Stegostoma tigrinum: one gene and its partners. The protein of the gene in region 2 purifies or fractionates together with the protein of the main gene of each other region. This does not show direct contact. Links are inferred from orthologs where the notes say so. Each region holds a gene or a part of one and is shown on either strand. Other genes may lie near its edges. The genes, in order: fip1l1a, cpsf3 and ube3d.

What was found.
Region 1: the proteins of cpsf3 (region 2) and fip1l1a purify together in Homo sapiens (affinity purification with mass spectrometry; 5 studies listed by BioGRID and IntAct, with this or other methods). This does not show direct contact. The link is inferred for Stegostoma tigrinum from reciprocal best matches to the Homo sapiens genes CPSF3 and FIP1L1.
Region 3: the proteins of cpsf3 (region 2) and ube3d purify together in Homo sapiens (affinity purification with mass spectrometry; 4 studies listed by BioGRID and IntAct, counting the BioPlex papers as one, with this or other methods). This does not show direct contact. The link is inferred for Stegostoma tigrinum from reciprocal best matches to the Homo sapiens genes CPSF3 and UBE3D.

Annotation. Positions count from the first base shown.
Region 1 is NC_081354.1:107,223,241-107,230,345, forward strand, and holds the start of fip1l1a (pre-mRNA 3'-end-processing factor FIP1), read left to right. Parts: upstream 1-4,036; 5' UTR 4,037-4,178; coding exon 4,179-4,266; intron 4,267-4,397; coding exon 4,398-4,443; intron 4,444-7,105.
Region 2 is NC_081357.1:115,214,813-115,221,928, forward strand, and holds the start of cpsf3 (cleavage and polyadenylation specificity factor subunit 3), read left to right. Parts: upstream 1-4,030; 5' UTR 4,031-4,086; coding exon 4,087-4,157; intron 4,158-5,090; coding exon 5,091-5,154; intron 5,155-5,547; exon of another isoform or gene 5,548-5,548; coding exon 5,549-5,646; intron 5,647-7,116. UniProt on the Homo sapiens protein: Component of the cleavage and polyadenylation specificity factor (CPSF) complex that plays a key role in pre-mRNA 3'-end formation, recognizing the AAUAAA signal sequence and interacting with poly(A) polymerase and other factors to bring about cleavage and poly(A) addition.
Region 3 is NC_081357.1:39,205,084-39,213,166, reverse strand, and holds the start of ube3d (E3 ubiquitin-protein ligase E3D), read left to right. Parts: upstream 1-5,003; 5' UTR 5,004-6,461; intron 6,462-8,083. Other genes in the region: gap junction beta-7 protein-like, read left to right, coding at 2,798-3,556. UniProt on the Homo sapiens protein: E3 ubiquitin-protein ligase which accepts ubiquitin from specific E2 ubiquitin-conjugating enzymes, and transfers it to substrates, generally promoting their degradation by the proteasome.

The DNA of each region.
Region 1 (7,105 bases), on a different chromosome or scaffold from region 2:
AGGAAAACACCATCAATGTTTTTAAAATTTTATTTTATTCATTCATGGGACATGAGTATCACTGGCTATGCCAGCATTTATTACCCAACATTAGTTGTCCTGGAGAAGGTGATGAATTTCTGAAATCCATTTGGTAGGTACACCCCAGGCTGTCAGATAGGGACTTCCAGGATTTTGACATAGTGACACTTAAGGAGTGATGATATATTTCCAAGTCAGGATAGTGAGTGACTTGGCTGGAAACTTGCAGATGTCGGTGTTTCCATGTATCTGCTGCCCTTGTCCATCTTATTGTAGGTTTCGAAGGTGCTGAGTAAGGATTCTTGGTGAATTTCTACAGTGCATGTTACAGATGGTGTTCACTGCTGTGACTGAGCTTCAATAATGATAGGAAAGTTTGTGGATGTGATGCTAACCAAGTAGGCTGCTTTGTCCTAACTCACTTCTTGAGTGCTTTTGAAGGTGCACTCATCAGGCAAATGGGAAGTATTCCATCACAGAATTAATTTGACCCTTCTTGATGATCAACAGGCTTTGGGGAGTCAGGAGGTGAGTTATATGCTGCAGGTTTGTTCAAACAAATCTAAAAAGGATCTTACATGTTAGTTCTACTGATAAAATGAACTAACAGCCAGGCTGCACATGCTATGGAGCTGAAATACTATTTCCTCTCAAGTGACCATATTGTAACCATTCACACACTGTCTATTTGACCTGTTTTGGAAAATGATTTAGCTGTATAGTTGAGTAGAAAACAAAGCCAATTAAAATGTTCAGAAAATAGCTTGCAAAATCATCTTTGTTCTGATGACAGTATCATGGTTATTCAGATGTCTTACATAAATGTGGTCTGAAGACACATGAAAACAGGCACAATCACCATTCTGACAGTTCACTATCCTTCCAGTGATAATTCTAGGCCTGAAACGTCAGCTTTTGTGCTCCTGAGCTGCTGCTGGGCCTGCTGCGTTTATCCAGCCTCACATCTTATTATCACTATCCTTCCAGGTTGTGTGCTTCTGTAAATTTTTAAGTTATGTATTTTAACACCAAAGTCATTAATACAGATCAAGAAAATCAATTGTGCTAAAGACAATCCCTGGGGACCTCCACTACATACGAGCCTTCAGTTTGACAAACAACTGTTCCCCACTGTCCTCTGCGTCCAGGCACTAAGTCTAAAACAATTTTAAAAACCTTGCTGATATTTCTTAATGAGAAACTTTCTCAACTCTGAAGTTAAACTGACTGGCCTGTAACTTGCAGAATTTGTTCCTGCATCTTCTTTTGAAAGGGTTCGGTACTCTCTCGTCCTCTGGAACCATCCCCATAATTAAAGAAAATTGAAAGACTGCAGCTAGTGCCTTTGTAGTTTTCATTTCATCTTACCTTTTATTTCCACCATCCAGGGAAGGCTGGTTTTGTTTTCCCTGTCCTTTCCCTCTATGCATCTCCAATCTAACCATCAATGAACATATAAAATAAGAGCAGAGGTAGACCATTCTAGCCCTCACCAGTCAATAAGATCATGGATGACCTAGTCATTAATGGCAGTCATTTGCTCAATGTGTCCAACAATCTTTGATTCTAATCAACCCAACACAAACTGGGAATCATTACTGATGCAGATTATTGTTCAAATATAGGTAGTAAATTTTCTTGTTTCTATGTTGAGTTTCAGAAGTGGCATCAATAATGGCGAACAGAATTGTGAAGTGATTTTTTTCAATTATTTCATACAGCATGAATGTTGCTAGCAAGGCAAGCATAATCATTTTTGAAATGTTGAAGGAAAGTTGACTTTCTGTACCACTACAGTTCATTCGGTGTAGGTCAATGCACAGATGAAGGGATGGAGATTTCATTTCACATCAGGATAGCATGGCGTTTGGAGAGGAAATTGCAAGTAGTGATGTTCATATGCATCTGGTGTCTGTCTTTCCAGGTGGTACAGATTATTAGTTTGGAAATTTTATGTTAACATATGCTAAAATCTTTATAAACCCTTCCTTGAATTCTTGCCTGAGTCATCAGTTTCAAACACCATTTCAGAGACTTGAGCTCATAATTTACACCAAAGTAAACACGATACTGTTGGAGGTGACTTTTTTTTTGATAGGATGCCAAACTGAGGTCTTGTTTGTTCTGTCATGTGGACAGAAAAGATTCAAGATATTAACACACGAGAATTCACAGGTGTTCTATTTATTGTACATTCTTTAAACAAAATCAACACTCTAGGTAAGTCAACTATCTTGTTGCTATAACGAGATAACAAATTGTGGAGCTGGATGAACACAGCAGGCCAAGCAGCATCTCAGGAGCACAAAAACTGATGTTTCAGGCCTAGACCCTTCATCAGAGAGGGGGATGGGGAGAGGGAACTGGAATAAATAGGGAGAGAGGGGGAGGCCGAAGATGGAAAGAAAACAAGATAGGTAGAGAGGAGAGTATAGGTGAGGAGGTATAGAGGGAATAGGTCGAGGAGGCGGGATGAGGTGGTAGGTAGGAAATGGAGGTGCGGCTTGAGGTGGGAGGAAGGGATAGGTGAGAGGAAGAACAGGTTAGGGAAGCAGAGACAGGATGGGCTGGACACTCTCTCCACAGCTCCCTTGTCCGCTCCACACTCCCCTCCAACCCCACCACACCCAGCACCTTCCCCTGCAACCGCAGGAAGTGCTACACTTGCCCCCACACCTCCTCCTTCACCCCCATCCCAGGCCCCAAAATGACCTTCCATATCAAGGAGATGTTCACCTGCACATCTGCTAATGTGGCACATTGTATCCATCGTACCTGGTGTGGCTTCCTCTACATTGTGGAAACCAAGCGGAGGCTTGGGGACCGCTTTGCAGAACACCTCTGCTCGGTTCGCACTAAACAGCTGCACCTCCCAGTCGCGAACCATTTCAGCTCCCCCTCCCATTCCTCAGACGACATGTCCATCATGGGCCTCCTGCAGTGCCACACTGATGCCACCCGAAGGTTGCAGGAACAGCAACTCATATTCCGCTTGGGAACCCTGCAGCCCAATGGTATCAATGTGTACTTCACCAGCTTCAAAATCTCCCCTTCCCCCACTGCATCCCAAAACCAGCCTAGTTCTTCCCCTCCCCCCACTGCATCCCAAAACCAGCCCATCCCATCTCTGCTTCCCCAACCTGTAGTTCCTCTCACCCATCCCTTCCTCCCACCTCAAGCCACACCTCCATTTCCTACCTACCACCTCATCCCGCCTCCTTGACCTGTCCATCTTCCCTGGACTGACCTATCCCCTCCCTACCTATCTTGTTTTCTCTCCATCTTTGGTGCGCCTCCCCCTCTCCCCACCCCCCCTTTTCTGATGAAGGGTCTAGGCCCGAAACGTCAGTTTTTGTGCTCCTGAGATGCTGCTTGGCCTGCTGTGTTCATCCTGCTCCACATTTTATTATCTTGGATTCTCCAGTTCCCATTATCATTGTTGCTATAACGATATGGTTTAGCTACTACATTTCCTACATGAGAACAATGATATACATCAAAGGTTTTTCCCCTCACTGTAAAAGTTTGGCATCATACCGGGGACTAATCTATCTGCCCTTCCAGCATCATCTTTTCTACAACTTGTTACCCCGACAATGTATTTTAACATTGAAGAGAAAATGCTGGAAATACCTAGCCAGTCCGAAAACCTCTGCGGGAAGAGAACTGTTTCTCTCCCCGTAGATACTTGCCAGGCCCGAGCCTTTCCATCATTTTCCATTCCTATCCCCATGATTCGCGGGATTTTGCTGGTGGAGGTGACACAGTGTGGAGGTGGAGGAGGAGGAACATCTCTGACTCCACTTCTCACTGTCTCTTTTGCTTTTGGAGTATGTTTTCAAAATCCAAGGTAATGATGAGTCACGAACCAAAAGCATGTGAAATGTTGTGAGTACAGCACTGAACATTGCCTGTGTAACACACAGTCTCTCTCTCTCTCTCCCTACTTACCTGCTTTCACTTTGACACCAAGCAGTTAGACTGAGGGTCAGTGCCAGAGGCTGGTTTCCGGGTCAGAGGTACCGGCTTCGGGGGTCATTTCCTGGGTTAAAGGTCAGGCTGGCAGTGAATGTGCGTATCAGGAGTTGGGCCCAGTGCACGGCGAAGTTAATCTCATTTCCCCGGGCGGGTGGTCAGGCAGGCGGCCGGCCGGCAGCATGTCAGCGGAGGCGGAGAACGTGCCGAAGGAGGCCGGCTCAGGCAGCGCGGGGCTCGGTGAGGATGAAGAGCACTGGCTGTACGGAGGTGAGTGTGGGCCCCGGGCTTGGGCGAGGTGGTACTGTCAGAGCCGGCCCCGGCATGTTACAGCGCGACCTCTGATCACCATCGTTTCCTCCTGGCCTCCTCTTTAAGCCGATGTTCCGTTTCGATTTCAGATGAAAACGACCCAAACAAACAAGAAGAGGCCGCGCCTGTTGACAGGTGAGCGAAAATTCAGAAGTTCTCAGCCCCCGCTTTTTCTCACTTTCACCGTGTGGATTGCTTACATTTTTACAGGGGTCCTTTACTCCTCAACACTGCATTCAGATCTTTTGGTAAAGACACTTCTGTTTTGTGTCTGTGTGGTCGGGTTGATCAATTTGTACAGAATTCAAGGTGCATTGGCCGGCAGTGATCCTTGGGGTGAGGTGCATTGGCCGGCAGTGATCCTTGGGGTGAAGTGAGATTCTCAGGAGGTTTGACAGGTTGGAACAGAAACAAAGTTGCTGGGAAAGCTCAACAGGTCTGACAGCATCTGTGAGGAAGAAAACAGAGTTAACTTTTCAGGTCCGGTGACCCTTCCTCAGAATTGATAGGGTAGAAACTGAGCGGTTGTTTCCTCTTGTGGGACTATGTAAATGAACTCCAGTAAATATCTTGAGGTTTTCTGTTTCTTACTATCTTTCTATGCAGTGAATTCCAGATACCCACCATCCTTGTATTGATCTCTCTACTAAGGAGGAAAAGCTCTCCTTCAAGGGCATTCTCCTATAACGCATGTTCTGGCTACACGAATTGGCTATGACATGACTGACGATGGGGGGGGGGACACTATTTCTAAAACACCAACTTGTGTTGGCTACAATGTGATTTCATCGCTGACCAATTGATTTTTTAGAAAGTATTACAAGAAAAAAATTGGATTTAAAGATTCTCCTCATCCTGGCCTAGGCACCAAGCCATCATCCCACCATTGCTGAGCTTTCTGAAAAAAAAAGTGCTATTTCAAGCCCTCAAACACAGCTCCTCTACTTCAACCCATGGACCAGGGTGCAATTGCAGCTTTTTATTTAAGACATGCATTTAAGAGGCTGATTGCAGCTACTCAGCGGGACAGGGACAGTGTTCTGCTGGTTGAGTCCCGCTGTGAAGACAGCAACTAGTTGTGAGGGGGAGGTGGAAGCTGGATGAAGGTGAAGTCCAAGATGCAGCACCATGAGAGCTTCCCACTTGTGTTTTGCCTTCTATTCTAAGGGAAATTGAGAAGCAGTTGCAACTTTTAGAGGACAATGATTATAGCGCAGAACATGGCAGAGTAGCAGTTTGTGGAAAGTGGCAGCCTATGAACAGCTTCTGCATGAAAGAAGAAAAAAAGGCAGAACAGCAAAAACTGGATGTCTTTTTGACCTAACCCTGCAACCATAACTGTGCCTGAAGAAGGTGTTGGTGGTGGTGATGATGATTATGATGATGACCCTTAGCCCCTCCATTAACAACAGAGTAACCTCAAAACCTCCTCCCCATCAAGTCATCTTGATGTTTTTTTCAAGGTAAGGCGTTAAATTTACTTTTATTTCATTATTACGTATGCATTCAACATTTATTCAAACTGTTCTGTCCTTTTCTGTTAGGCTTTTGAGTGACTTTGGAGTGTTATATTTTGATGGTCTGACCCAACCCTGTTTTCTCCAGAGGCCCTGTGATTTTCTATGATGCATTGTTGCACAAGAATGCAACTTTCATGTTATGGCAGAATCCCCAGCATCTACTTGAACGATGACCCGCAACTGTGTTTAGGTCAATAAGGCCAGTGTCCTATGCGTTGTCTTAAGTTTCATATTTACCTGTCCTTCTGGCTTCAAGGATCTTTGGACATGCACGCCAAGGTTTGTCTCATCCACTGTATTCTAGAGCCTGGGACTTTGGCAACTGAAGGAGCAGAGATGAATAGTGAAGTGGATTAAAGTTGTTTGAAGTAAAGGTCACTGTTACAGGAAGGCAGATGCCTTGGACAGTTTAGGAAGGTTGGGGGAGATAGGTAGGGACGTGAAGGAATGTGAAAGCAAGTATGAAAACTTTTCAGTCAAACATTTGCTTGATGGCAAACGAATGGTAAGCAGAGATGATAGAAAAGTTAAATGATGCAAGATGAGTCAAGCAGCAGAGTTCTGGATGACTTCGAGCTTAGCGAGGGTAGGATGTACTTGAACAGTTGGCGGTGCATTCAGTAGTTGGACCTTTTAAGTACAAAAGACATGAATGCAGGTTACAACATTATGTGAGAGGTGAAGTTGAAGATGGAAATTTTTGAAAGTTCATCTTGAATCAAATGTGATACTAATGTTGCAAACAAATTCCCTTAATTTCAGACTTGACAGGGAGAGGGTTAGACAAAAATAGAAATTGTTGGAAAAACACAGCAGGTATGTCAGCATCTGTGGACAGAAAGCAGAGTTACTGTTTTGGGCCCACCGAAACTTCCTCAGAACTGGAGCCCTGGAGATGACAGCAAAGGGAATAGACTTTGGAGCAGGCTCTAAATGCAGTGGCTTCAGTTCTTCCAATGTTTAACTGGAGGACATTTCTGCACATAAATAAACGGCCTGATATTGTAGTAACAGTGGTGGGAGGGGCGGGTGGTGGTGGTACCCAAGAAAGTTGACATTAAACAGTCAATTTGAAAACTAATGTGGTGCTTTTGGGTGATGTTGTAGATTTGCTTGCCAAGTGGATGTGTTTTATTGCAGACATTTCATCACCCTGCTAGGTAACATCGTCAGTGTGCCTCAGATGAAGTTTTAGTGAGGCGTATAAATAACAAGCAGGGCAGAAACCAGCGCTGCAATCAAACACTCCAGGTTGGCGAGCAAGTCTACAACCTCGT
Region 2 (7,116 bases):
CGCGCTCATCAGGGATACAACTGCCTACGTACAGGACAGGCGAGTGGACACCTGCCTCGTCAGCCTGGACTAGGAGAAGGCCTTCGACAGGTTCTCTCACGCTTACATGAGAGACGTCCTCGTTCGGGGAGGGCATCCGCAATTGGATCCGGCTGCTCTACACCAACATCGTTAGCACAGTCTCGATCAACGGGTGGGAATCGGACAGTTTTCCCATCAGATCTGGAGTCAGGCAGGGCTGCCTGCTCTCTCCTGCCTTGTTCGTGTTCTGTGTGGAGCCCTTCGCCCCATCCATCAGGAAGGACGTGAGCCTGAAGGGCGTGACTATCCCAGGCAACGGAGGCCTTCAGGTCAAGACCTCCCTGTACATGGACGACGTCGCCGTCTTCTGCACCGATCGTCAGTCGGTGAGTAGGCTGTTGGACATCTGCGGCCAGTTTGAACTGGCCTCGGGTGCCAAAGTCAATAGGGGTAAGAGCGAGGTCATGTTCTTCGGGAACTGGGACGACCGCTCCTTCATCCCCTTCACCGTCAGGACAGACTACCTGAAGGTGCTGGGTGTTTGGTTCGGTGGAGCTGGGCCGTGCACTGAGACTTGGGAGGAGTGTATCACCAAATTGAAGCAGAAGCTGGGCAGGTGGATGCTCTGGTCCCTCTCCATCGCGGGTAAGAACCTGGTTGTCAGGTGCGAGGGGCTGTCGGTACTGTTGTATGTGGCGCAGGCCTGGCCTATTCCCTGGACCTGCGCCGCTGCGGTCACCTGGGCCATCTTCCACTTCATTTGGGGGTCGAGGATGGACTGGGTCCGCAGGGACACCATGTACAAAGACCTGGAAAATGGGGGAAAGGGCGTACTGAACGCCACCCTCGCCCTGATGGCTACCTCGGTGTGCGGCTGCATCAAGCTGTGCGTAGATCCTCAGTACACAAACACCAAGTGTCACTACTTACTGAGGTTCTACCTGTCCCCGGTGTTGCGAAGGATGGGCCTGGCCTCGTTGCTGCGGAACGCTCCGAGTAGTTGGACCGTCCTGTACCACCTGTCCTTCGTGGAGAAGTTTTTGAAGGGAAACACCTTTGACCACAAGGCCGTCAGGCAGTGGTCAGCACGTAGTATCCTTGAGACCCTTCGGGAAAAGGAGAGGGTGGATCCCGTCGTGTGGTTCCCCACGCAGACTGCCAAAGTCGTTTGGCAGAATGCCTCATCGCCAGAACTTTCAAACAAGCACAAGGACATTGCTTGGCTGGCGGTGAGAGGGGCTCTGCCAGTGAGATCCTTTATGCATGCCCGGAATCTCTGCGCCACCGCACACTGCCCTCGAGGTGGCTGCGGGGGGAGAACGAGACTGTCGATCACCTCCTTCTGGAGTGTGCCTATGCGCAGGAGGTCTGGAGGGGGATGCAGTGGTATTTGTCGAGGTTCGTCCCGAGCAGGTCCGTGACGCGGGACTCCGTGCTCTACGGGCTGTTTCCTGGGACGCACACCGAGACCAACATCAACTGCGCCTGGAGGACCATCAATGCAGTGAAAGACGCTCTTTGGTCTGCCCGCAACTTGCTGGTCTGCCAGCTGAAAGAACTGACCCCGACCGAGTGTTGCAGACTGGCGCACTCCAAGGTCCAGGACTACATGCTGAGGGACGCGCTGAAGCTTGGGGCAGCCGCCGCCAAGGCACGGTGGGGAAAGACCACGGTATGAAACCCCTCATCCAGAATAGAAAAAAGGGCCCTATCTGGTAACTGGGCCCAGCTGGCGCCTTCCCCAACTGGTCAGGGGGCCAACTGGGACTGTGCGGAGTGACGACTGCCGGGGTATTTTCTTTGCTTTGTTTTTTTTTCTTCTTTGTTTGTTTTTTTTTCCTTTAGTTGGTGTACGTACCCCCTGGGTAACCCGGAGCAGCTTGCATGACTGGGTAGGTGTATAAATATGTTTTATTTTTTGTGCATCTTATGAATAAAGTATATTTTTTCAAATAAAAAAAAGGTGATGAAACGTCTGAAAACTAACCTTCCAGCTCAGCAAGCAAACTCACATCCAGAACCTCAACCTGAGCTACAAATCTTCTCAAAATTCTATTCTCCCTCTACCTGGACCCCTCCCTCCTTTCCTTAACCGTGAACAATTTGTTCACTGAGAACTATCAATATCACATTGGTCACCCTAATTTTTTTCCCCTGCCCCGCTCACGCATTTGAACCGATCTCCCTCTGAACTGAGTGCACTCCATGCTCTCAGATCAAACCTTTGCCAACAAGGGTTGTGCTGTTGTCTGGTGTACTGATCTCTTTCTTGCTGAGGCTGACTGCCAGCACTCACTCTCCCTCTATTTCCCACGGACCATGATTCCCACCATTGAACAACAAGAAAGGGTGCAGAAAAGATTTAGAAAAACATTGACGGGATTGGAGTGTCTGAGTTTTAGGGAGAGGCTGAATAGGCTGGGACAATTTTCCCTGAAGTGTTGGAGGTTGAGGAGTGACCTTATAGGGGTTTATAAAATCATGAGGGGCATGGATAAGGTGAATAACCAAGGTCTTTTCCCCAGGTAAGGGAGTCTAAAACTAGAGGAGTTTAAAGTTAGAGCGGAAAGATTTAAAATGGACCTAAGGCGCAACTTTTTCATGGCGCTACGTGTGTGGAATGAGCTGCCAAAGGTGGTGGAGGCTGGTACAAATACACATTTAAAAGGCATCTGGAAGGGTACCTGATTAGAAAGGGTTGAGAGAGAAACGGACCAGATTTATTTAGGACATTTGGTTGACGTGGATGAGTTGAACAGAAGGGTCTGTTTCCATGTTGTATGGCTTCTCTGACTCTATGACCTTATCAAAAGCCTTCTGAAAGCCCAAGTAAACCATATCCACTGGCTCCCCCTTATCAATTCAAAAAATTCCGGTAGATTTGTCAAGCATGCTTTCCCTTTTATAAATCTATACTGACTCTGTCCAATCCTGTCACTGTTTTCTAAAATGCCCTCCCATTAAATCTTTTATAGTGGACTCAAACATTTTCCTAACCATCTACATTGAGTTAACTGATCTATAATTCCCTGCTTTCTCTCTCCCTTCTTTTCCCTTAAGCAGTGCGGTTACGTTAATTACCTTTCTTTAGACTACCATTTGCTACTCTTAAAGAAATCCATGGTGGTTTTCCCTGACTCATCAACATTTGTCAAGTGGTGCTAATTGTGCCCTCAGTTACTATTCCTAAGAGTGGCTCAGTGGTTAGCACAGTGCCTCAGAGCACCAGGGACCAAGTGTTGACTCAACCTCTGGTGACTGTCTATGTGGGTTTTATACTTTCCACCCGTGTCTGCATGGGGATTGTGTAGGCAGGTGGATTAGCCATCATAAATGCGGTGTTAGGGTCGGCGGGGCAGAGTAGGTATGGATGGGATGCTTTTTGGAGGGTTGGGGCAGACTCAAAGGGCCGAATGGACTCTATCCACACCATATTCCGTGAAGACCTTCAACACCACTGAAGTTAAATCAACCAGTTTGTGATTACTAGGTATATTGCACACTCTGGTTCGAACAAGGATGTAGCACTTAGGATTCTTCAGTCGTCTGGCAACACCCTGGTATCTAAGGAGACCGCCATTCACTTCCCTCAATATCCTTGGATGTACCTGCTCTGATCCTAGTGCAGATCATCCCTTAAGTACAGCCAGTCAGTTTAGTACTTCATTACATTTACCTTTAAGACATCACATCACTGAATGGCCTGCATTAAAGGTTAAGTGGAACCAAGAGTTTAATTATAAAAGAGAGTCACTGCTGACGAGCACCAACATATAACATGCCCAACGATTTGAATCTCAAAAAAACACATCGATTTTAACATGTATAAAACGTTCTATATATTAAAACCTTCAAAAACAAAACGAATTACCTGACAAATTACCCGGTTTCTTACAGAAATAACACGATTATCTCAGTGCACAATATGACACTTTGTGATGAAACCCCTCTCAAGACTCGAGTGTTTCACTTTGTTGTGTCCCCCGACCTCCCGGCCTGTGAGGGGTGGAGGCGGTTTCCAGCCGGAGGTTTACTGGGGCCGGGCCGGAAGTGCCCAGGCCGGCAATGGCGGCTAAGCGGAAAGCGGAGATTTTTGTCCCGGCGGAGGAGAGCGACCAGCTGCTGATCCGCCCGCTGTGAGTGCCACCCCCACCCCCACCCCCTAACACCGTCAACACCACCCCGACCCCCACCAACAACCCCGACCCCCCACCCCCCTCCCCTTCCCCCCACCCCCCCTCCCCTTCCCCCCACCCCTTCCCCCCACCCCCCTCCCCTCCCCCCACCCCCTCTTCCCTCCCCCCCCACCCCCCGCTTCTCCCCCCGCTTCTCCCCCCCCCCGCTTCTCCCCCCCCCCGCTTCTTCCCCCCCCGGCTTCTTCCCCCCCCGCTTCTTCCCCCCCCCCGCTTCTTCCCCCCCCCCGCTTCTTCCCCCCCCCCCGCTTCTTCCCCCCCCCCCCGCTTCTTCCCCCCCCCGCTTCTTCCCCCCCCCTTCCCCCCCCCCCCCGCTTCTTCCCCCCCCCCGCTTCTTCCCCCCCCCCCGCTTCTTCCCCCCCCCCCCGCTTCTTCCCCCCCCCCCCGCTTCTTCCCCCCCCCCCGCTTCTTCCCCCCCCCCCGCTTCTTCCCCCCCCCCCGCTTCTTCCCCCCCCCCCGCTTCTTCCCCCCCCCCCGCTTCTTTCCCCCCCCCCGCTTCTTCCCACCCCCCCAGCTTCTTCCCACATATTCCCCATCTCCCTCGGCCCTCTCCTGTACACCCATCTCTGTTTTCCTTCCCTCCCCTGTATCTCTCCCAATACACACAAGCCTGCTGTTTTTGAGAAAACTGCATATTGGATGCAACTGATGTTCAGTTATCTCTGATGTTAGAGATCTCTGCAGCAGGAATTTATCTTTCAAATTAAAACTTTAAACCTTGTATGTGTGATGACCAAATCCATGCTTGTACTTCATGCACTGGCCTGTAAAGTCATCAGACAACTTTTTTAAATTCATAATTCTTCAAATTGATGCAGTAGAAGACATTGCTTTTCATCACATAAGTTTGAGAATTTTTTTATGAATTGTTAATAGAGGAGCTGGTCAAGAGGTGGGAAGATCATGCATCATTGTGGAGTTCAAAGGAAGGAAAATCATGGTATGATTTAATAAATTGTAAATGTGTACAGTAGGCTTCAGGATTGCTAGTTGACTTCAGTTTTTGTTGTCAGTAAATATCATTGATTGGCTAGCAGAAATTAAACAATTGTTACAGTTTTATATAATATTTTTTAATTGATTTCTTGCAAACTGACTGATACACATATTTGTTAATGATGTCTATGTTGATTAAAAATATGGCTTGCAAACTTTCTTCAAACTGTAGGTTAATTGGTGGCAATGTGATCCGATTAAGAAGCTTTGTTTTGTATTAGATTATATTGGTGTTATGTGTCTATCTGGTCTCACGTTAACAACATGCTAAACTCGGCTTTGAGAATTGATTTTGATGGCCTATTGATTCGCCTTCACCTGAATTTTATCGTATTCAGTTGGATTGTGGAATCCACCCTGGACTTGAAGGAATGGATGCACTTCCATACATTGATTTGATCGACCCTGCGGAGATAGATCTTCTCCTTATTAGTCAGTAAGTATTACAGCTTTCTATTTTAGAATTAAGGAATTACAACATGGCTTCAAAAGGAGATTTCATTTGAACCTTGTTTTCATTGACCCAATCGCTGTATTTAGTTGAGTTACTCTCGATGACAAATAAAAAGTTGTTGCATTGACTGAGATGGGAATAATATATATAATCAGATTGTTAAACAGATCATTGACATTTGGACTTGAGAGCTAGTTTTGTTAAGATTTTGCTATAACCAAAATGCTGCTCTCCTTTTCACACATTTTAAACAAAAGGCTTATATTATTGTTTGTAGGAACACAGGGATAGAAATAACCCATCTGTCCCATGAACCTATTGTCTTATTCAGTTACATTATTGCTGATCTTTACCTCAACTCCTTTGCTTGTCTTTATTCCACGTACTTTGGTATCTTTCCTGTGCAACATCTGTCAATTTTCCAATCTTAATTGACTGACATACACAATTTTTTCTGGGGAGCAGGTTCCTATTTTCTCCTACCCTGTAAGATTTGAGAGTCTATTATTAAGGATGAGATTGCGGAGTACTTGGAAATGCATGGTAAAATGGGGCTGAGTCAACATGGGTTCGTCAAGAGGAGGTCATGCCTGACAAATCTATGAGAATTTTGGTGAAGAGGTAACAATAAAATCAAAGGAGCCCCAGTGGATGTGATCTGTTTAGCCAGAAAGCCTTTGACATGGTGCTGGATGGAGGGCTGCTAAATAATTTAAGAACCTGTGGTGTTAGGGGCAAGGTTCTGGAATGGATGGAGGATTGGCTGACGAGCAGAAAGCAGAGTAGTGGGGTTTAAGAGGTCTTGTTTTAGGACAGCAACTGGTAACATGTGGCATTAGCATTGTGACTGCACATTATTCGTGTTATACATTAACAATGTGGACAAAGGAACTGAGGGCAATTTTGCTAAATTTGCAGATGGCCCACAAGTGGAGGGATAGGTAGTGTTGAGCAAGTGGGGAGGCTGCACAAGGATTTGGATTGGCTCGGAGAGTGGGCAAAGAAGTGGTACATGGAATACAGTGTTGGAATATGTGAGGTTTGCACTTTCAAAGGAAGAATAGAGATGCTGTCTGTTTTCTAAACAGAATGCCATTAGAAATCTGAAGCACAAAGGGATTTGGGAGTCCTAGTTCAGATTTCTCTTAAGGTTGATATGCAGGTTCAGTTGGCAGTCAGAAGGGAAGGTGTAATTTTAGCATTCACAGAATACAAGAGCAGAAATGTACTGTGGAAGCTGTATAAAGGCTCTGGTCATTTGGAATATTGTGAGCAGTTTTAGGCTTCATATCTAAGGAAAGATGTACTGGCATTGGAGGAGAACCAGAGGCAGTTTACAAAAATGATCCCGGTGATGTTGAGCTTGTCATGAGGATTCTGGGTTTGTACTCTATGCAGTTTAGAAGGGTGAGCAGGGATCTCACTGAAACCTACAGAGACACCTGGCTAGAC
Region 3 (8,083 bases), about 76 Mb from region 2:
CAGCACGACTGCTGACAGAATGAAGCAGGTGTTAGATGGAAAAAGAACAACTGAATATGTTGTTGATCATGAAGGAGTTCCTTGGTTACAGTGAGGTGATTTACACAGAATTTGCCAATTCTGCCTGGTTAAAAAATTGCATGTTCAATATTTCATTCTTCAACATTTATGTTTAATATTCATCGTAGGGAAAGATGTAATTTGTCTCTGATTTGACTTTGGGTGTATTAATGAAACATATGAAAAGAGAATGCAATGAAATTGAATGATGTATTTGCTTGATATTGCTGCAGACCTATGTCAACAAACTCTGCATTGAATTAAAATTTGACTACCAAAACCAGCTTTTTCTATTTACAGAGTCTGTATAAATTTATCAATGCAAAGCAACTTCCATCATAAGCCACAACAAAATACATCTGTGTAATTAATTAATTTAAAATGCAGTATCAATTTACAAAAAACAAGCTTGACTAAGGAAGGGATAATGGGAACTGCAGATGCTGGAGAATCCAAGATAATAAAGTGTGAAGCTGGATGAACACAGCAGGCCAAGCAGCATCTCAGGAGCACAAAAGCTCCTGAGATGCTGATGGCCTGCTGTGTTCATCCAACTTCACACTTTATTATCTTGACTAAGGAATCCTATATTAGACTAAATCAAAAATATATTTGCATTTTTGTTTGGAACTCTCAATTAAACCACTGTATATTAATCTCTTTAAAATGTAGGATCTACAATAATAATAAAAACCTAAAGAATGGTGGATGCTGTAAATCAGGAACAAAAACTGAAGTTGCTGGAAAAGCTCAGCAGGTCTGGTAGCATCTGTGGAGGAGAAAACAGACTTAACATTTCAGTCCAGTCACCCTTCTTCAGAGCTGATGGTGGCTGGGAAATTGTCAGTTTATATGCAGAAAATAGGGAGGTGGGTGGGGTAGGGAGTAAATGATAGGATAGACCCCAAAGAGAGAGAAAGACAGTTGGACAAACAAAGGAGTTGCTAACGATCAGGCTGGGAGGGTGAATAGTTGTTAATGGGGACCGTTAGTGACTAATAACAGGGGGTGTGTAGTGGCAGGCTATGTGGTGACAAGGCCTGGTGTGTGGGGTGGGGGCTGGGACATGGGTGAGTTTAGGCCCTAAAATTATTGAACTCGATATTGAGTCCAGCGGGCTGTAGGGTCCCCAAGCGGAAAATGAGGTGTTGTTCCTCCAGCTTGCGCTGGTCTTCACTAGAACACTGTAGCAAGCGGTGGGGGATGGAGACAGGCTGCAGTGGGGAGAGAGGTTACAGCTGTCCCTTCTTATCAGGCTCCTGGGCTTTCTAAGATGGGTTCCCCTCAGCCCTCAGTTGTTTGGCCACAGCCTTCCTACCCTTTTAGCTGGTACCTCCTTTCCTTCCAGCATATCCCATACACTCTTTTCTCTCTCTAGGGATGCAGTGACGATCTCAGGTGAAGGAGCAGTACAGTACTGGCTGTAGCCACTGCTCCTGATTTGGAGGCCTGTCAGTGTCTGATTGGCCAGCAGCTCTCTGAGGAGGCCCTTCCTGATTGAAGAAAGTCTGTACTATACTCTCCCTCCATTGCCTTCACCTTCTTCCTGTAACGTGTAGACCAAAACTGTAATCAATACTCCAACTGTTGCCTTGCTATGATTTTACATATCACCTTCATATCACAACTTTGATCTTCAATACTGAGTTCGAAAGGAAAAGGCACTCAAATTAAGATGGACAGATAAAGGACTGAGATAGTATTCAAAATGGTTGGAATCAGGGCAGATGTTTTTGAGTTTCAGCTGCTAGCACTGAACCTTGCCCACCAGAATTGCAGATTGGAAAACCCTCACAACTTACCATGGAAAACCAGGGGAACAGCCCTCAAAATTTGCACAAATAATCCTTAGGTAAACCACGAAGGAATTAATGGTTTAAGGGGTCAAAACAGATTCCCTGGATGTGTCTGGGAATGGAAGGTTTGACTTATAAGGAGAGACTGGTTAGGCTGGGACCTTTATTCGCTGGAGCACAGGAGGTTGAGGGGTGACCTTATAGAGATTTATAAAGGATTTTCTTCTCCCAGAGATGGCATTCCCTCTAATTTTCCTTAACAGCTGCATGGGTTCTCAGGGGTCCAAGCATGGCTTCTGGAACTGGATATCAACCACAGGATCAGCATGCCACTGCTGACTGTTGGGTGCAGAATATCAGAGCAGCTGCCTCTAAGCAGCTTAGAGGGAATGTTGCACAGAAGCCAGAGAACATCTGGAATTCTCTACCCCAGAGATTGGATCACTGAAAGTATTTAAAAAGAAGGTAGATAGATTTTTGAAATCTGGGGGAGTTGTGGGCAATGAAGAGCTGGTGAAAGGAGAGTTGAGCCTTGGCCATGATCCTAATGAATGGTAGGTCAGACTTGAAAGGCTGAATGGCCTACACCTGCTCCTATCTCTTGTGTTCTCAATGCTTTGGTCCACTGCCCAATACTCCTTTATGCGAGTATTACAACACTTCTGTGTGGGTTCTTGGGGAGATTTATTTCATTAGATGCTCTACATAAATAAGTGCTGCCATTAAACTAAGACAGTGCAAATTGTGGCGATGTCCCTTGGGGTGCAGTGGTAGACTCCCTAAGCCTGGGCTGAGTGGGCTAGGTTCAAGGCCCAGCTGCCCCAGAGATGTGTCATGCAAGTCTGATAAGATTGATTAAAATAACTATAACTCATCCAGTGCATTAATTTCAAATTTCTTTTCTCTATTCTGTAGATTCATCATCAAGTTATTGAGGAGCCATGAGCTGGAGTTTACTCCGTGATGTTTTGAGCGGAGTGAATAAATACTCCACTGTTGTGGGGAGAATCTGGTTGAGTGTTATGTTCGTATTCCGAGTCCTTATCTATGTGGTGGCTGCAGAACGTGTCTGGAATGATGAACAGAAGGAGTTTACCTGCAACTCAAGGCAAGTTGGTTGTGAAAATGTATGTTTCGACCACTTCTTTCCAGTGTCGCACTCAAGACTTTGGGCACTGCAACTTATCTTGGTTTCTACCCCTTCTCTTCTGGTTGTCATGCATGTAGGTTACAGGGAACACCGAGAGAAGAAGTACAAAAAAAAGCTGTACAAAGACAAAGGGAACATAGATGGAGGTCTGTGGTGGACCTATTTCTTTAGCCTAGTGTTCAAAACAGGAGTTGAGTTCAGTTTCCTGTTTGTGCTGGCATGGATGTACGATGGCTTCATTATTCCTCACCTTTTGAAGTGTGAGATCAAACCTTGCCCTAATGTGGTGGATTGTTTTGTCAGTCGGCCAACAGAAAAGACCATCTTCCTCTACTGCATGGTTGCCTCCTCGGTTCTGTGCATACTGCTAAACATTTGTGAGATGAGCTACCTAATCTTAAAACATTGCAGAGATTGGTGTGAAAAGAGATCTGTGAAGCAGGCAAAACGATTGAAATGTGGATGCCGTCCTTTAGAAACGAATCAGCCTCAACGAAAAGGACTTAAAAATGGCACTTTGAGGTCTTCTGTAAGTATGTGCACTTTGTAAAATCAGAGCAACAGCAAGACAATCTCTGATATTGCGAATGAAAGCTGGCTTTAGAGCAAGAGACTTTGGTGGACAGTTACCTGTTATTTAAAGAAATAAACCAAACATGAATTATTGCATTAACAAAGACAGAGAATGCCAGAGAAACTCAGCAGGTCTGGCAGCATCTGTGGAGAGAGAAACCGAGTTAACGTTTCAAATCTAAAAACGCTTTCCCGAACTTTCACAGTCATGTTGGACTCGAAGTGTTAACTCTATTTTTCTCTCTCCACCGTTACTGCCAACCTTGCTGAACTTCTCCAGCACTTTCTACTTTTACTTTAAATCTTCAGCACCTGCAATATTTTGCTTTTATTTGATTTATGGAGCTACTGCCGAGGAATCTTTGAAGAATGTTTAAAATTTTTACTGAAAAGATTGTGGATGTGTAGAATACTAACTTCAACATGCCTTAATTACATATAATTTTGAACCAAGCTTTGTACAATTGAGTGCAGGACACATGGGTCAGCACAGAACACACGGTTGCCATATTAATTACAAAAGTCAGTTATACCTTTGTAAAAGATTATATCTTTAGTAAAAAAGATCTCCTCCCGAGTACATCTACAAATTGTGTAAACTTGGCAAGTTGATCCTAAGGTGAAAATGACCACTTATTCATTTTGATGAAAAAAAAATAGCTGTTGCGTTTTTGGGTAATCGTGAAAGTGGGTGCACAGTTGAGGAAGTCATTTACAAAGACACAAGAGCTATTGCACAGACAGTATTTACTGTCAGCCAGGCAGAATTATGGGAACATAATTTACGTGTTCTGGCGTAAAGATGTGAGGGTTGTAAGCATGCAGAGATTTTACTTCTCCGTCCTTTCGTCTTACTTTCTGACAATGACTGTAATTTGTATTGTTTATTTTACCCTGGTAAAGTTAATCCGAATTGTATCCTGACTGTTACGTAGTACATGAGAAAATGCAATCAATCATAAACAATTATTTCACTGTACGTGAAAAGACTTCCATTCATAAAAACACATTAAAAAACCCTGAATTGTATCAGTGATAATGGGAACTGCAGATGCTGGAGAATCCAAGATAATGAAATGTGAGGCTGGATGAACACAGCAGGCCCAGCAGCATCTCAGGAGCACAAAAGCTGACGTTTCCGGCCTAGACCCTCTGACGTTTCGGGAGGGTCTAGGCCCGAAACATCAGCTTTTGTGCTCCTGAGATGCTGCTGGGCCTGCTGTGTTCATCCAGCCTCACATTTCATTATCTTTAAAAACCCTGAAAGTGGGAATGAGTGACAAAGATAACAAAGTGTGAAGCTGGATGAACACAGCAGGCCAAGCAGCATCTTGCTCCTGAGACGCTGCTTGGCCTGCTGTGTTCATCCAGCTTCACACTTTGTTATCTTGGATTCTCCAGCATCTGCAGTTCCCATTATCTCTGAGTGACAAAGGCTGACTTTGCCTGTGATGCTCATGACAAAATGAAACATAGGCATATTTTGAATTCCTTTGAGAAGCTGACCCACCCTTTAGAAAATTTTTTTAAAAATCGATCAAATAATAAACACTAGAATTAAGCACTCAAAAACAAATGCAGTATCTTACCCAGAATTTAATTCTTCCCATTTTCCAATATCTTTCATCGTCTTCACCTCACAATAACCAAGTGGTCCCTTGCAAATGCTTGAGCAATATGGCTGCATTTCAGTTTCCAATATAGTTTGGGGTTGCTTTACCTTGATAACTTTTCAGTCTTTCTAATGTATATTATCTCAAAGCTGCCCCCATTCCACCACCTCTCCACTCTCCTGTTTTCTTTTCTTGATGTTACATGTTACATTGCAACTCTCCTTCTTGCCCTATAACCACGTCCTTTCTTCAGTGACTTCTTGCCCTTGATAGCTACACTTCTGTTCCCAGAGTCTCTCAGGTTCCAGAGAGTCACAAACTGTATTTGACAGGGGTTACACCGTGTTCCCAGGGGTGACTCTCTGCTCCTAGCAGTGACAAACTTTACTCCAGGTGATCACATTCTCTGGTCTCCAGAGGTTTCTCTCTCTTTTTCCACTTTGCCCCTCAGGGTCACGTTCTGGCTTCTTGTGTGTCAAAAACGTTACTGTCGGAGGTTTCACAACCTGTTTCTAATGGGGTAAATCTCAGTTCTCAGGAATTACATTCTGTTGATCATTACCTGCATCTTGCCAACTTGTCGGTCTCCCAACTTCGAGTCTCTCTCTTCCCCGCTTGCAAAGAGCTCCCAAATCCTTTTCCCAATTGCTCCAAAAGCTCTGTCCCTCGACATACTTAGCTCCAAAAAGCAACTCTCAATAAACTCCATCCCAGACTTCCCTATATTTCAGGTCCCTCACTACTACCCTATTTAACTGTATAGCTGGGCTCCTGCAGAATGCTTCGGCCTTTGCATCTTTCCCAGTGCTCAACTGTCTGAAAGCAGAAAAGACAGAACTGATGGATTTTTGGATCAAATGATCTTTCAATTGTGAAAACTTTCACAATAAGTGCACACATTTTTACTATAGATTGACAATTGATGTCACGATGAAGGAGAAACAAACCCGGGGCATCACGGAGCATTTACAATAGGACATAATTCTTTATGTAAACCAGGATACAAATAAGTCAATGGGTATTTTCTGAAATGTGACTTCTGAATGCTTAATGTGCTTCGCCCAAATTCCATTTTAATGAGGCTTTTAAATTTGGTTGGTTAGTACCATTGTAAAAATAGCATATAGAGAAATGTAGTGAGGGCTGTTTTTATTTGAACTTGACCAGTTGAAAGGCCAACTTGGACAAGGATCATCAAAGAGTCATTGTTATTGATTTAAATCTATGGCTTAATTCATTGTTGAACTTAGCTGATCTAACAAAACAGTGGTGAGTAGTATGATCGGGATCAATAAGTATATTAAGAGCAGTCTATTTTCAGTGAGGAGATTAGTGCTATGAAAGCTTTGTATGTTAACACTCCAAATCTGGTTTGACAGGCTTAACAAGCAAACAGTGTAGGTTCAGATATCTACATCAATACCATTTATGCTTTTTGGATGTAAGTTATGATTTAGGATGCATTTCTTTTCTTTTTATCTCATGATTGTTTTTCCGGCTGCAAACTAAGGAATTACTGGATTTATTAGATTATTCAATAATTACTACTCAAACTCAAATACTCTTTGGATTACTACAATCATTAAGATATTGTATTTAAACTGTTCCTGTTCATTATTTCAAATGTTGTGGACTCAATGCTTGTCTTGATAGAACATGTGTAGATTTATGCCAATATTTTATATTTGAAAAGTCAAATGTAATTTCAATATTTTACTTGATTATGCTTCTGTGAAGTACTTTGTAACTATTCTATCTATTTAAAGGCGCCATATGAATGCAAGTTGCTGCCTGCACAATGTAATTCTCTGGCAGACTTTGTCTTGAAGAAAATAAACAAATTTGTTTCATATACTTCTCAATTCATCAATTGTTGTTCATTTTACTCTTGGTCATTTTGATTGGGGTTTTCCACAATTAAAAACATTTAGCAGGTTGCATTCTAAAATGCAAATACTCCTATGATTGATGCCAATAGATCTTACTTAATGATCTTTCAGAATTTATTTTCCTCATGCTTTTACACATTTAGCAGATAGGTTTGAGAAACTGGAATGCTTTTGAGTATTTATTATTCTTCCGAAAAAGAAGGCTTGTTTAAAATCTAATTTTGACTTACTGACCGTTCCTTTAACCTAGTGCTTAGCAGTTTGAAGAATGATTATATGTGAGTGTTGCATACTATGCTTAGTCTAATACAACCCTTAAAGTTTAGTTAGTTTCGATATGGATGGGGAAACGGTTTAAACTCAATGCTGTCATGCAATTACTTCTGCTTTAAAAAAAGAGACATATCAAAAATCCAAAAATTCTGTTCCTCTTTTGTAGAATATAAAGAAGAACAACCTGGTTGAAATTAAACTGCTTGAAAATTTTATCAGAAATGGGAACTCACCAATTTGGATAGGAACCAACAATAAAAAGGCTGTTTCAGTTTTCAAAAATGTAAAGACTATTGTAAATAAGCTCCCACAGTCACAATTTGTAGGAAAATTAACTATATTTTAAGTTATTTGTGAAGTTGTAGCTTTGAACCTGAAAGATTAACTGTTTCTCTCCTCACAGATGCTGCCAGACCTGCTGAGTTTTTCCAGCATTGCCTGTTTTTATGTCAGATCTCCAGCATCCACAGTACATTTTCTTATTTGAAGCTTTTATCAGATGAGGTTTATTACTTATTGCTTCGGATATTATAAAAAGCATACCCAATGGAAGCATATCCAATGTTTGTTGTGTGCGCAAAGGTATAATTGGATGACTGTTTGTCTCACTGGGGATGAAGGAGAGTGAATGAGTGGGTAATTGTGAAAAACAGTCACTGGTAGTAAAAATGGATGTACTAAGTGTAACAATGAACATAGTAAGTCAACGATTGCTTTCAATACAACAGA